Linked DNA regions of Arabidopsis thaliana. The protein of the gene in region 2 interacts with the protein of the main gene of each other region in a pairwise test. Each region holds a gene or a part of one and is shown on either strand. Other genes may lie near its edges.

The links.
Region 1: the proteins of SMG7 (region 2) and LBA1 come close enough for resonance energy transfer, tested with the Arabidopsis thaliana proteins (one study listed by BioGRID).

What each region holds. Positions count from the first base shown.
Region 1 is NC_003076.8:19,069,783-19,074,825, forward strand, and holds the start of LBA1 (RNA helicase), read left to right. Parts: upstream 1-2,041; 5' UTR 2,042-2,226; coding exon 2,227-2,763; intron 2,764-2,954; coding exon 2,955-3,206; intron 3,207-3,281; coding exon 3,282-3,452; intron 3,453-3,594; coding exon 3,595-3,645; intron 3,646-3,737; coding exon 3,738-3,830; intron 3,831-3,899; coding exon 3,900-3,995; intron 3,996-4,091; coding exon 4,092-4,142; intron 4,143-4,222; coding exon 4,223-4,341; intron 4,342-4,441; coding exon 4,442-4,550; intron 4,551-4,716; coding exon 4,717-4,839; intron 4,840-4,919; coding exon 4,920-4,991; intron 4,992-5,043. Other genes in the region: AT5G47000 (Peroxidase superfamily protein), read right to left, coding at 1-393. UniProt on the Arabidopsis thaliana protein: Involved in nonsense-mediated decay (NMD) of mRNAs containing premature stop codons (premature termination codon PTC) by associating with the nuclear exon junction complex (EJC) and serving as link between the EJC core and NMD machinery.
Region 2 is NC_003076.8:6,538,478-6,545,559, forward strand, and holds SMG7 (Telomerase activating protein Est1), read left to right. Parts: upstream 1-1,525; 5' UTR 1,526-1,651; intron 1,652-2,091; 5' UTR 2,092-2,125; coding exon 2,126-2,197; intron 2,198-2,392; coding exon 2,393-2,989; intron 2,990-3,084; coding exon 3,085-3,207; intron 3,208-3,320; coding exon 3,321-3,535; intron 3,536-3,612; coding exon 3,613-5,785; 3' UTR 5,786-5,808; intron 5,809-5,884; 3' UTR 5,885-6,019; intron 6,020-6,117; 3' UTR 6,118-6,538; downstream 6,539-7,082. Other genes in the region: ABCG23 (ABC-2 type transporter family protein), read right to left, coding at 6,760-7,082. UniProt on the Arabidopsis thaliana protein: Plays multiple roles in growth and development. Involved in nonsense-mediated mRNA decay (NMD). May provide a link to the mRNA degradation machinery to initiate NMD and serve as an adapter for UPF proteins function.

The sequences.
Region 1 (5,043 bases), about 13 Mb from region 2:
ATCCGCGCATGATACTACACCAGGACAAGACAACTCGAGAGCTGTCTTGATGCGGGTGACGATGTCAAAAGCATCTCCCGGGAGGGAATCATTGAGATCATCATCGCGTTCCGCTTTGTTGAACGAGTTGGTCGCGATCAAGACAGATGCATCACAACCTTCAAGGAAACAATCATGGAAAAAGAGACGGAGGGTCCCGGCCGCAGTTGTTGGTTGTTGGACTTGTTTGGTTGTAACGGCTTCACGCACAATTTTGTGGAAATCAGGACATGTTTTTTGGTAATAGTCCGTTCTCAAGATAGCGACATCAGCCGATATAATTGGTGCAACCACGGCGAGACAGAAGAGGATAACAAAGGGATTAAAACCACGAGAGAATTGCATATTCGACATCAGATAATAACAAACAATGGTAATTGAATTGGATTTGTGAGAGAGATGTCTACGAGGTAGACTTCTCTACGATCGATTGTCGTCGAAAGCAATTAGAAACGAAGACGAAGAAAGGGCCTTTGCGACTATTTCATGGCTTAGGAGGTTACTAAGAAGAGGCTACGTAAAGGATGGTTTTCATTTCCTTATATGTACGTGTGGTTGTTTTTCGTTTATTCTTTTCTATTTTTGTAATTTATCTATTTTTTGTATGGTTTTGGTTGCTTTGAATTTGTTTTGGTTCTAGAAATTTTCTTATGTTCGACAAATGTGGTAATATGATAGTTGCTTTAATAGGATGCATACACACGTGAAATTGATAAATACGAGAGAATAGAAACTCATGTGAAGGAAAAAACTAATATTAATTAAAATTATTCATTTCGCACAAACAAACAAACAAATTAAAATCATTCATAGTTTATCAACTAAACTTTAAACTTGACGTTATTTTATAATTTTGTTGAATCAACAACCTGTGAAGGTGAAGGTGCCAATGATTGTGACAACATGATGTTTGGTATGCTTACGTTAATTTGATCCAAGAACAGTTTTCTAGCAAATGTTTGATGAACTAGACTCAAATAAAAATACCTACTCATGTAGAAATCACGCAAGCTCAACATTATTAGAGATCTGATTGAATTTGATATTTTCGTCAGATTCGTATCAATCTCAATTTTGTATTACATATAACGAGCCTAACTCTCATATGGGGCAGATCTTTTTGTAAGTTCGAATGAGAGTTATGCCTTTGGTAACATAAATTGCTAGACCACAAAATTACATATTTTCTTATTTAACCTACGCAAAATCGCAAATATCTAAGAGTGCAAATGATTTCATAAAGGAATTTAATGGAATAAATATATGAATAAAAAAAAAGAAGATGAATAATGTTATTCAATCAATTCCACCTGCGACATAGTAAAAAAAAAGAGTTGAATAATTATTATTTTTTAATTTTCACCCTTTTCAATGTAATCATTTAAAAAAAAAAACTTTTTTGTCATCCCAAAAGTATAGAATTGGAAGAATGGTTTATTATACCACTTTTATTCTTCTAGCTGTACCATTTGCATAATAAGTTTCTCTATACCGGAACCAAATTCTTGTATTTTCTATATTAAATATTCTAATATGAGAAGTTGAATGTTAAGAATTTTTTTTTACTTATCATGCTATCTTATTATAGAAAATTTGGTTTCTCAAAAGTAGTTATTAACATAATCTAATATGAGAAGTTGAATGTTAAAATTAAATATTTACTTAACATGTGAACTTATCATAGAAAACTTTGGTTTCCAAACTTGTTCATAATTTTTTTCTAAAATAAAATAGTAAAAAAGTAAATCTAATTCAAATAAAAATAAGATAATCAATTATTTAAAGTGTTAGAAAAATAGAGTGATAAAATAAGAAATAAACATCATTCAACAAACCTAAATATTTAGAAATATGTAGAAATTTAATTGAAAACCCCAAAAAAATATGAAGGGAGGCTTTGGTGTCTAAAAATTAGTAATTGGGCCCAATATCTCGTGCGCAAAGCCCATATTACATAGAGCATGGCGCGTATAAATAACATACATCTTATGTATTTATCTCTCTCACGCGCCCCTCTTTTCTTCTTCATTGACACGGACATTCGTTTCCAATTCTCTCTAATGTTTCACTAAAGCGCATACATAACCCTAACCCTAACTCTCTCGTACTGCACAAAAAAAAAAAAAAAATTGAAGAAGAGCGATACGATCGTAACCAGGGAGCTTGATTTCTCCCCTGATTTTTCTAATGGATTCTCAACAGAGCGATCTCTTTGACACCGCATCGCAGCCGGACACGGTGGCCGACGAGTATACCTTTTTGGAATTCAATACTCAAGGCGATTCAGAGTTCGATTACCAGGATTTTGGATCGCCGACGGCATGGCCGACACCGTCTGATTCTATTTCCATCGCTGACGTTGCCGATCGTGGTGAAGGAGGAGCTGCCGCGGATCATCATTCTGAGGCTTCGTCACCTTCGTCCCTCTCTGCCGGTGCCGGGAATGGTGCGAAAGTGGGACGCGGTGGAGTTGGTGGAAGTGGTGGTGTTAGTAGTAGTAGTCAGGTTGATGCATTGGCCGCTGGTGTGGGAAATTTGAACTTTGAAGAGACTGGTGATGATGATGGTTTTGATTATGGTAAAAATGATTTCACGGAGCACGCTTGTAAGTATTGTGGTATCTCGAACCCAGCTTGCGTCGTTAGGTGTAATGTGGCTTCTTGTAGAAAGTGGTTCTGCAATTCAAGGGGAAACACCTCAGGCTCTCATATTGTGAATCACCTGGTTAGTAATCATCACTGTAATCTGTTTTTTTTTTTCATCTTCTGGAAGTGTTGTAGTTTCTTGTGTTGTTGTTAAGACATGTGGTCATAGGTATCTCTGGTTTGGTTTGTTTACTCTACAATTTCCATGAGATAGGGTTGCACGCAATTGAACCTTTCTTAATGGATTTCCTTCTGTTGGTTATTTTTAAGGTGCGAGCAAAACACAAGGAAGTTTGTCTCCATAGAGACAGTCCACTAGGGGAAACAATTCTCGAATGCTACAACTGTGGGTGTCGGAATGTCTTTCTTCTCGGTTTCATCTCAGCAAAGACAGATAGTGTTGTCGTCCTTCTCTGTAGAGATCCTTGTCTAAATGTAAATGCCCTGAAGGATATGAACTGGGACCTAAGTCAGTGGTGTCCCTTGATTGACGACAGATGTTTCCTCCCCTGGCTTGTTAAGGTTAGTTTCTGTCCTTGCATTTTTTCTTACGAAGACATTTTCATGTGATAGCTTTTATTAATTCTTGTTTTACAGGTCCCATCAGAGCAAGAACAGCTAAGGGCACGCCAAATTAGCGCACAGCAAATAAACAAGATAGAGGAATTATGGAAGACAAATCCGGATGCTACTCTTGAAGACCTTGAAAAACCTGGTGTAGATGATGAACCTCAGCCTGTTCAACCTAAGTATGAAGATGCGTACCAGGTATAGATTTTCTCAGCCTTTTACTTATAAAATAAGTAACTCAATTGATATATTAGAGAAACAGTAAATTCGTCATGCCACTTTTGGAAGAGGTCACTGTTAGAATTATGCTTCTATACTTATCCTTTCTGGTGGTTTGCAGTATCAAAATGTGTTTGCACCTCTAATCAAACTCGAAGCAGACTATGACAAGGTGTGTATTTAGTAATTCATTTTATTTGGATTGATTTTCATGTCCCTTTTATATTTGTTCTGTTGGGACTTATCATCTTAAGTCTGCTGTAGATGATGAAAGAGTCTCAAAGCAAGGAAAACCTCACTGTTCGGTGGGATATTGGTCTTAACAAGAAGCGTGTTGCATACTTCGTCTTCCCAAAGGTGGTTGAAATCTAGTGGTCGCTATTAAGCCTTGATTAGAACATTTCCCGATTTAAACTTTTGATGCAGGAGGAAAATGAATTGCGATTGGTACCGGGTGATGAACTACGTCTGCGGTACTCGGGAGATGCTGTTCATCCATCCTGGCAGTCAGTTGGACATGTGGTATACATCGTTCTTGGTTTTGTTATGTTAGTAGGGTGGAGATCCTGTATTTGAGAGTGTTTAGGTCTTTACCATAAAATTTTAATAATTCTCCAGATCAAGCTAACGGCGCAAGAGGAGGTTGCTCTTGAACTCCGAGCTAATCAGGTGAGTATAATTCTGATGTTAGCTTTGCTTTTGACATCGACTTGCGGAGATATGTTCAACCTCACTTACTCTGTGTGTAGGGAGTTCCGATTGACGTAAATCATGGATTCAGTGTTGATTTTGTTTGGAAAAGTACAAGCTTTGATCGAATGCAGGGAGCAATGAAGAATTTTGCTGTAGATGAAACAAGTGTGAGTGGGTAAGTCAGTCATCGGAAAGCCTAGCTCCTTCTTGGTACGTGTCCATTTGTTACTGCATGCTAATCAACCACTGAATCACTATGTTTCTATTCTTTGAAGTTATATCTACCATCAGTTATTGGGACATGAAGTTGAGGCCCAGATGGTTCGTAACACACTACCTCGACGTTTTGGGGTACCTGGTCTTCCAGAACTGAATGCATCTCAGGTAATCATTGGCTTTCAGCTTATCCAGTTCATGAATAATGTTCGTCGTAAATGTCTTCACGGAATTTTCAGAGTCGTTTTGATCCCGTGTTCCTTGTTAACACGATGAATAATATATGTTATCTATATAACGGATTTATAACAGGCTCTATTGTATCCTTGAGCAGGTTAATGCGGTGAAAAGTGTCCTTCAGAAGCCCATCAGCTTGATCCAAGGTCCACCTGGCACAGGCAAAACTGTGACTTCTGCAGCAATTGTGTATCACATGGCAAAACAGGGCCAGGGACAGGTAAAGCTGATTGTTATTGATTCCCTCAAGATTGCTTTTTGTGAGTTGACTATCAGATATTTATTATTATTACCTGACAGGTTCTCGTTTGTGCCCCAAGTAATGTTGCTGTGGACCAACTAGCTGAAAAAATTAGTGCTACTGGGTTAAAGGTAAACTTTTAAACCTCCTAGTTTTTCTATTAAAATTTTGCGTAAGACATGG
Region 2 (7,082 bases):
CAACTGAAAGTCTCTTAATTTTCATTTGTAGCCAATAATGTATTTACATGATTCAGTTACATCAAACCTGGATATACAACAATATTATATTAATCTATTCTATCAAAGTTTAAAACCAATTTTTTAAAAAAACATATATATATATATATATATATATATATATATATATATATTCTATGAAAGTTAGAGAACCTTTATGTGAGATCTCATCAGAGTATGGGAAGTTGACATATGTCCAATTACTAAATGAATAAATTAATAAAATCTTATTGATTATTGATTTTATATCAATTCAAATCAACTAAACATAAAAATCCTAAAACAAGATGTTTAAAAAAGGAAGAAAATCTGTCTTAAAAAGGGGAATGAAATCTTATCATAAATACATTATTTTTTAAAAAAAATCATAAAAGCATAAACATAGATATTTACATTAATGTGGAATTTTAACATATACAGTATTACATTTTCATTTTCCTCTTATGTGGGAGGGCTTAATTTTTAAATCGCCATCACAATACAACTAGATAATATCCGCACATAGTGCGGGGTAGAAAAAATTATTTAATAACTTTTATGTATAATTGATAACTTTTATGTATAATTATTTAATACCCGCAATATAATTGATTATTATTAGATAAATAATGGTGTATTAATTAATTATCAAAATTAGTGAAATATTTATTTATGTATTAATGTTTATGTTTATCATGATTTATTATGTATATCTTGTTATATTAATAGATATAAAATATTAGATACTCTATTTTGTATAGATTTATATCTCTTAATCATATATTTTAATTGAATTTTCATTTTAATAATTGAATGAAAAGCATAAATTAATTTAAAAAAATAAATAGAAGTAAAACTAATGACAAATTCGTAAATATTATGTTGGGTGTTTAATTAAATGGATTGAGAAGCAATGTGAGAACGACATGTCAGCGTGACATTTTCCTTAATGATACATAAAAGTATGGTTATTTTTTTAAAATGCTTCTCAATTAATATATAAGGAATAAAAAGAAATATTAAATACCGTTGGAAGAAGTTAAAAAAAAAACCCGCGAAATTCAAATAACACACCACACATATATCTTAACTTACTATAAATAATTATGTATCATTCACTACGAAAAACAAGTATAACTCATCCAACAAGATGTACGAACACTAAACAACCGAGATTTCAATCATTCTCCTAGTAATTTTACCTGTTTGTTAAACATTATGCAGATTGTCTCGACTAGTAAATCACAACCAATGTGTTTGAGAACAAGTAGTAATAAAGAAGTCCAAAAATCTTTGATGTCAAATCTTTGAAAAGAAAAGACTAAGAAACGACGACGTTCATCAAATCCCGTAAGGCAACATTCTCCGTTTGACTAAACCAATAGCGAGAAAGAAAACACTTGGACAATCCTTTTTTTTTTCTTCTTCTTAATATTCATTGTTCACTATTTATATGTCCTCTCTATTGTTTTTATATATAAGCAAAAGTCGACCTTATACAATCTTCACCGTCTCTATTTTTTTTTTCCTCTCTCTCGCGGAAAAAAAAACCCTAGTTTTTCTCTCTTCTCACCGATTTTTCATTCCGATGCTTCTGGTCGCATAGCCCATCCCCGCAGATCTGTTAATTCCGGTTAGATTTCTTCCCTTTATTCCTAATTTCGAGAATTTGGTTGTTTTCTTCTTATCTCGTCGTTTTTTTTTTCTTCAAAATTAAAAATCTTGGGAATAGGGTTTCTTTTGTATGCTTGCCCTTTTTGAATTCGATCCTGATTCTGCTTTGATTTCGCTTCTCGTCTTGCGGGTAATAGTTTATGATTGATGATTATAGGCAAAACGATTCTGATATGAAGGGTCTTTGTGATTCATGTGTTCTTTTACTCTTTTGAAATCGGCGTTTGATCACTGGTGCAATCGTTTTGATTTTATGTCAATGGTCTTTATTCCAATTCAAGGGTTTGACTTGTCTCTGTTCTTTAGTATAAAGCTCCAAACACTTTAGACGATTTTAGCTCGGCTGTTTTATTACTTTGTTTTAGATGATAAGGTTTTGGCTTTCTTATCTTATTGCAGGTTACATATGAAATAACATTGAAACATTTGATGGATGATGACTTTACAGATGGATAAAACTACTGCTTCCTCTTCATGGGAGCGAGCCAAGTCCATATATGATGAGGTTCTCTCTCTACTACACTTACATTTCTCAATTTGGTTTGTTCTTGTTTTTGGAGTGATTTAACATATCTCTTAGGGATGCAATCTTAGTTTATTTGTTGGGGATGTATAAGGTCGTTTTGTCAATTCACTTGACCCTATATCTTTGTAAGATTTTGGGACGACGTTGTATTGACTATAGATGCTTACTTTGCAGATTGCTGAGTTAGCAAACAAGCGTCAGAAGGCTGGAAATCCACCTGACCCAAATTTGTTGCAGCTCTTACGTGAGAAGTATGAAGCAATAATTCTTGAAAGTCATACCTTTTCTGAGCAGCACAACATTGAAATTCCTCTGTGGCAGTTGCATTACAAACGGATTGAATATTTTAGATTACACATCAATCGTGTATTGGCTTCTAGTACCTCGACAGCAGCGCAAAATGTCAAGGGTCCTTCTAAAGCAGAACAAATTGCACAACTCAAGCTGCAGTTCAGAACATTCCTTTCAGAAGCAACTGGGTTTTACCATGACATGATCTTAAAAATTAGATCAAAGTATGGCCTTCCCCTGGGTTCTTTTTCTGAGGATCAACAGAGTCAAAATTTGTCTGATAAAGATGGAAAAGAGTTAGCAGAAGTTCAAAAAGCCTTGAAATCTTGTCATCGTTGCTTAATATACCTTGGTGATCTGGCTCGGTATAAAGGAATGTATGCAGAGGGGGATTCCAGGAGCAGACAGTATGCTTCTGCTTCAAGTTACTATTTGCAAGCAGCTTCTCTATGGCCAGCCAGTGGAAACCCACATCATCAGGTGATTCCCTTGTTTTCCCCTCTTTCTCATGTTATTTTATATTTCGTACAACTATGGAATACATTTTTTCTGACTAGATTAACTTAATGTCTCAGCTTGCAATAGTTGCTTCTTATTCGAGGGATGAGTTTGTAACAACATATCGTTATTTCCGAAGTTTGGCTGTGGAGTATCCTTTCCCAACTGCCCGTGACAACTTGATTGTTGCTTTTGATAAGGTTAACTAAAAAGTTCCTGTTTCATTATTATTTTAGTGGCTTGGCGTAAGAGTGTGATTATTCTTTCACTTTTTTATCATCCAAATATAATGTATCTTTCTCTCTTTGAGCAGAATCGTCAGAGTTATGAAAAATTGTTTGTGCCCTCCAAAGACTCATCCAAGAGGCTGACTGGTAAAGGAAGAGGGAAAGGTGCAGATATTTCATTGAAAGATGCGACCTTGGTAGCTGGTCCTGAGAAGGATAAAGTAACTATTGCAAATGAGATGCTCAAAGCATTCAGCATTAGATTTGTTCATCTCAATGGGATTCTTTTTACCCGAACAAGGTAAATTTTTCTGAATTATTTTGTTCTAGATTCTGATACCGGCTCTCTGGTATAATACCTATCACTTGTCTTCACAGCCTGGAGACATTCTTTGATGTTCTTGCCTCCACTAGCAGCAGTTTACGAGAGGTGATTTCTTTGGGCTCAGCTAAAGAGCTGACTTTGGGCATAGACACCAGTGACAGCGCACTTTTCATTGTTAGAGTCGTGACAATGCTTATATTTAGTGTTCATAACTCAAAGAAAGAGACAGAAGGTCAGTCATATGCAGAGATTGTACAGCGTGTTGAGCCTGCCAGAAACTCCTTAACAGCTAGTTTCGAGTTACTTGGACTCGTAATAGAGAAGTGTGTGCAACTGGGAGATCCTTCGTCGAGTTACTTTTTGCCTGGTGTCTTAGTTTTTGTTGAATGGTTGGCCTGTTGTCCTGACATTGCACTGGGAAGTGATCCCGATGATAGACAGACTGCTGTAAGAAATAGCTTTTGGAACCAGTTTGTTGTCTTCTTCAATCAAGTCTTATCGCTTGGACCTACGTTTATTGATGATGTCGAAGACGAGACTTGCTTCTCAAACATGAGCTTGTATGATGAAAGAGAAACTGAAAACCGGCTTGCACTATGGGAGGACTATGAACTAAGAGGATTCTTGCCACTGCTTCCAGCTCAGACGATTCTCAACTTCTCAAGGAAACATTCGTTTGGAACTGAAGGTCCCAAGGAAAAGAAAGCTCGTATAAAGAGGATCTTTGCAGCAGGGAAAGCTTTGACCAGTGTGATCAAAGTTGATCAGAATCATGTATATTTTGATTCAAAGAAGAAGAAGTTTCTTGTTGGTGTAAAACCGGCAGATGACTTTCTGGATTCTCATTCAAGCCCACCTAAAGCTTGTAATGCTTTGCAAGATAACCAGGTAATGATAGATCATAACTCGCCAATAATGCAGCTTGATCAACAGATTTATATGGGTGAGGAAGATGATGATGATGAAGTAATTGTTTTCAAGCCGCTTGTTACTGAAAAGAGGAAAGAGGCTTCTGACCAAATATATGTTCCTAGTGGAGGCTTCAGGAAATCTGATCAAGTTACTACTATGGGGGACTTTAAAGCTTTAAGTGGATCTGATGTAGCTTTTCATGAAAATCAAATTCTGCAAGCTAGAGGCAATGCGAGTATTCAAGTGCCTGCATCTGTTGGTGCTAACCTTCTGGGACCTCTACAGCCATCAACCCAGTCTCAAGCTATGCATATGCAACAAGTTCAGACGCAGGTTCAAGTACCTGCATCTGTTGGTGCTAACCTTCTGGGACTTCTTCTGACATCAACCCAGTCTCAAGCTATGCATATGCAACAAGTTCAGACGCAGGCAGTGAATCCTCAGCCAGCCCAATCACTAGCTGCTTCTCGACTTCAGCCAATACAATCACAGGTCGCACAACCACTGCCATCACGGGTTGTGCACTTTCAACAAACTCAAGCTCAGGTTTCACATGTTTCACCGGCCCACTCGCAATCTACTTCCTTTGGTGGTGGTAGCAAGTGGTCACCCGAAGAAGCTGCTTCTCTTGCTAGTAGCCTATCTGGGTTTGCTCAGCTGGGTAATGGTCATGTAATGAGGAATGAGATGCAAGGAAATCATGGAGTTTCCTATTACCCTGCACACTCATTACCCGTCCACCAGTCTTACAATGGCAATGGTATGGGTGGTATGCCATATTCTCAGTCAAGAACACCTGAAGCTGTATTCCCACCCAAAATTGATCCTGTTTTATCATCCGGAGTTGTTGCTGATGGCCTGGGCGTCCAATCTTCATTAGCAAAGAAAAATCCAATCAGTAGAGCCTTCAGGCATCTTGGCCCTCCGCCTGGGTTTAACTCTGTCCCAGCTAAGCTGCAAAAGGAGCCAGCACCTGGTTCGGAATTGTCTGGCAACAACCACCTACCGGTTGATGATTACAGCTGGTTGGATGGATACCAAGCTCAATCTTCTCGAGGCGTTGGGCTGAACAGTTCTTTGAATTACGCCACCTCTGGGAAACCAGAACACTTGGGTAGTACTGGCAATGGACTGAACGGGCCTGCCAACTTTCCGTTTCCTGGAAAACAAGTTCCAACTTCACAGGTCCAAGCAGATTTTCCTTATTTCCAGAACCCTCAGAAAGATAACTTTGTGGACAAAAACCATCAGTCAACTCAACTCCCCGAGCAATATCAAGGACAGTCGACTTGGTCGAGTCGTCACTTTGTGTGAGATCAGAATGGAAGAGTAACACGGTAAGAGCAAACATAAAGCTCCTTTGCATTATCAAATACTTTGTAAACTATCTTATTGTTATTAGTGTTGATCTAGGTAATTGGGAATGATGCAGGTGAGTGTTACGCAACGTTTATTGCTACCTAACTCCAACTGATCCTTGTTCTGCTGAAGTCTCTAGTTGGAGTCTTTGTGGCCTTGGCTTCTTGTGGGGCACTTCCTACCTGACGGGTTGGTCCTTTTCATCGTTTTCTTTAAGCTAGTATTGCAGTTCCTTGTTTACACATGCGTAGGCACTCATACAAATCACCAATGTTTATTGATGATAGATTCAGGACACAGCTCATGTTGGTGAAGAGATATGTGGTAACAAGAATGAATGGTTCTGTGGAATTGATAGGAGTAAAGTGCCTTTCTCGTGCTACTTGAGGTGGAGATGTTAAACCTTATGAATAAGAAAGGAACATACGTAGCATGTGGCTCACTCTCGATATCTGAAGCAGTTGTTTGCTGTTTTCTTTTCTTCTTGCGTATGACTGTGTAGCTGTCCGTCCTCTTGCAGCTATCTCTCTCTCTCTTGGGTTGCTTTACTTTTATTTCCTCTATATTCTATGCTTGTCTCAAACTTGTCTCTGTTTTGCTGTGTCGTTTTAAGTTGAACCATCATAAGGTGTGTGAAACTTTGCAATGAATAAAAAAGGGACTCATGTGATAAAACATGATTTGGTGTTGAAATACTTCCTCCTCTTGAAGATCTGTGAGAATACCTTTGATTTTAAAGGTCGGATTTTATACATAATTTCACTTCATTTACAGGCTCATTTTACTCCCTTGGCATTTTGAAATCTGTAATATGCCAATGCTGCTACAAATGAACTTGATAAAACTGATGTCGAAAAATGTTAAAAAGAAGTTGTAATTGTATATGAACATAGAAGACTGAATACAGTTCTCCCTATACAATGAAATCTTTAATGGGTTGACTTGGAAGCCTTCCTGAGTAGAATACCCCAGCAGAGGATTCGATAAAAAACGAAAAAGGCAAGCATGATCCCGACGTTGATCCATCTCGTATCCTTGTCAAGCCCTCTCTCCTTCAACACATCCTCTCCGGTCATCAAGCAGCCCATGTTCCCACTGGAGAAGCATTCCTCTCGCATGCTCCAGTACTCATTCACCACCATAGACTCCAGCGGGTAACGGTACAAGGACACATAGTACATGAACATCCATGGTTTTGGGATCTTCTCTTTTGGGATAAAGTAGCCGGAGAAGAGGAAGAAGGCTCCAAGAA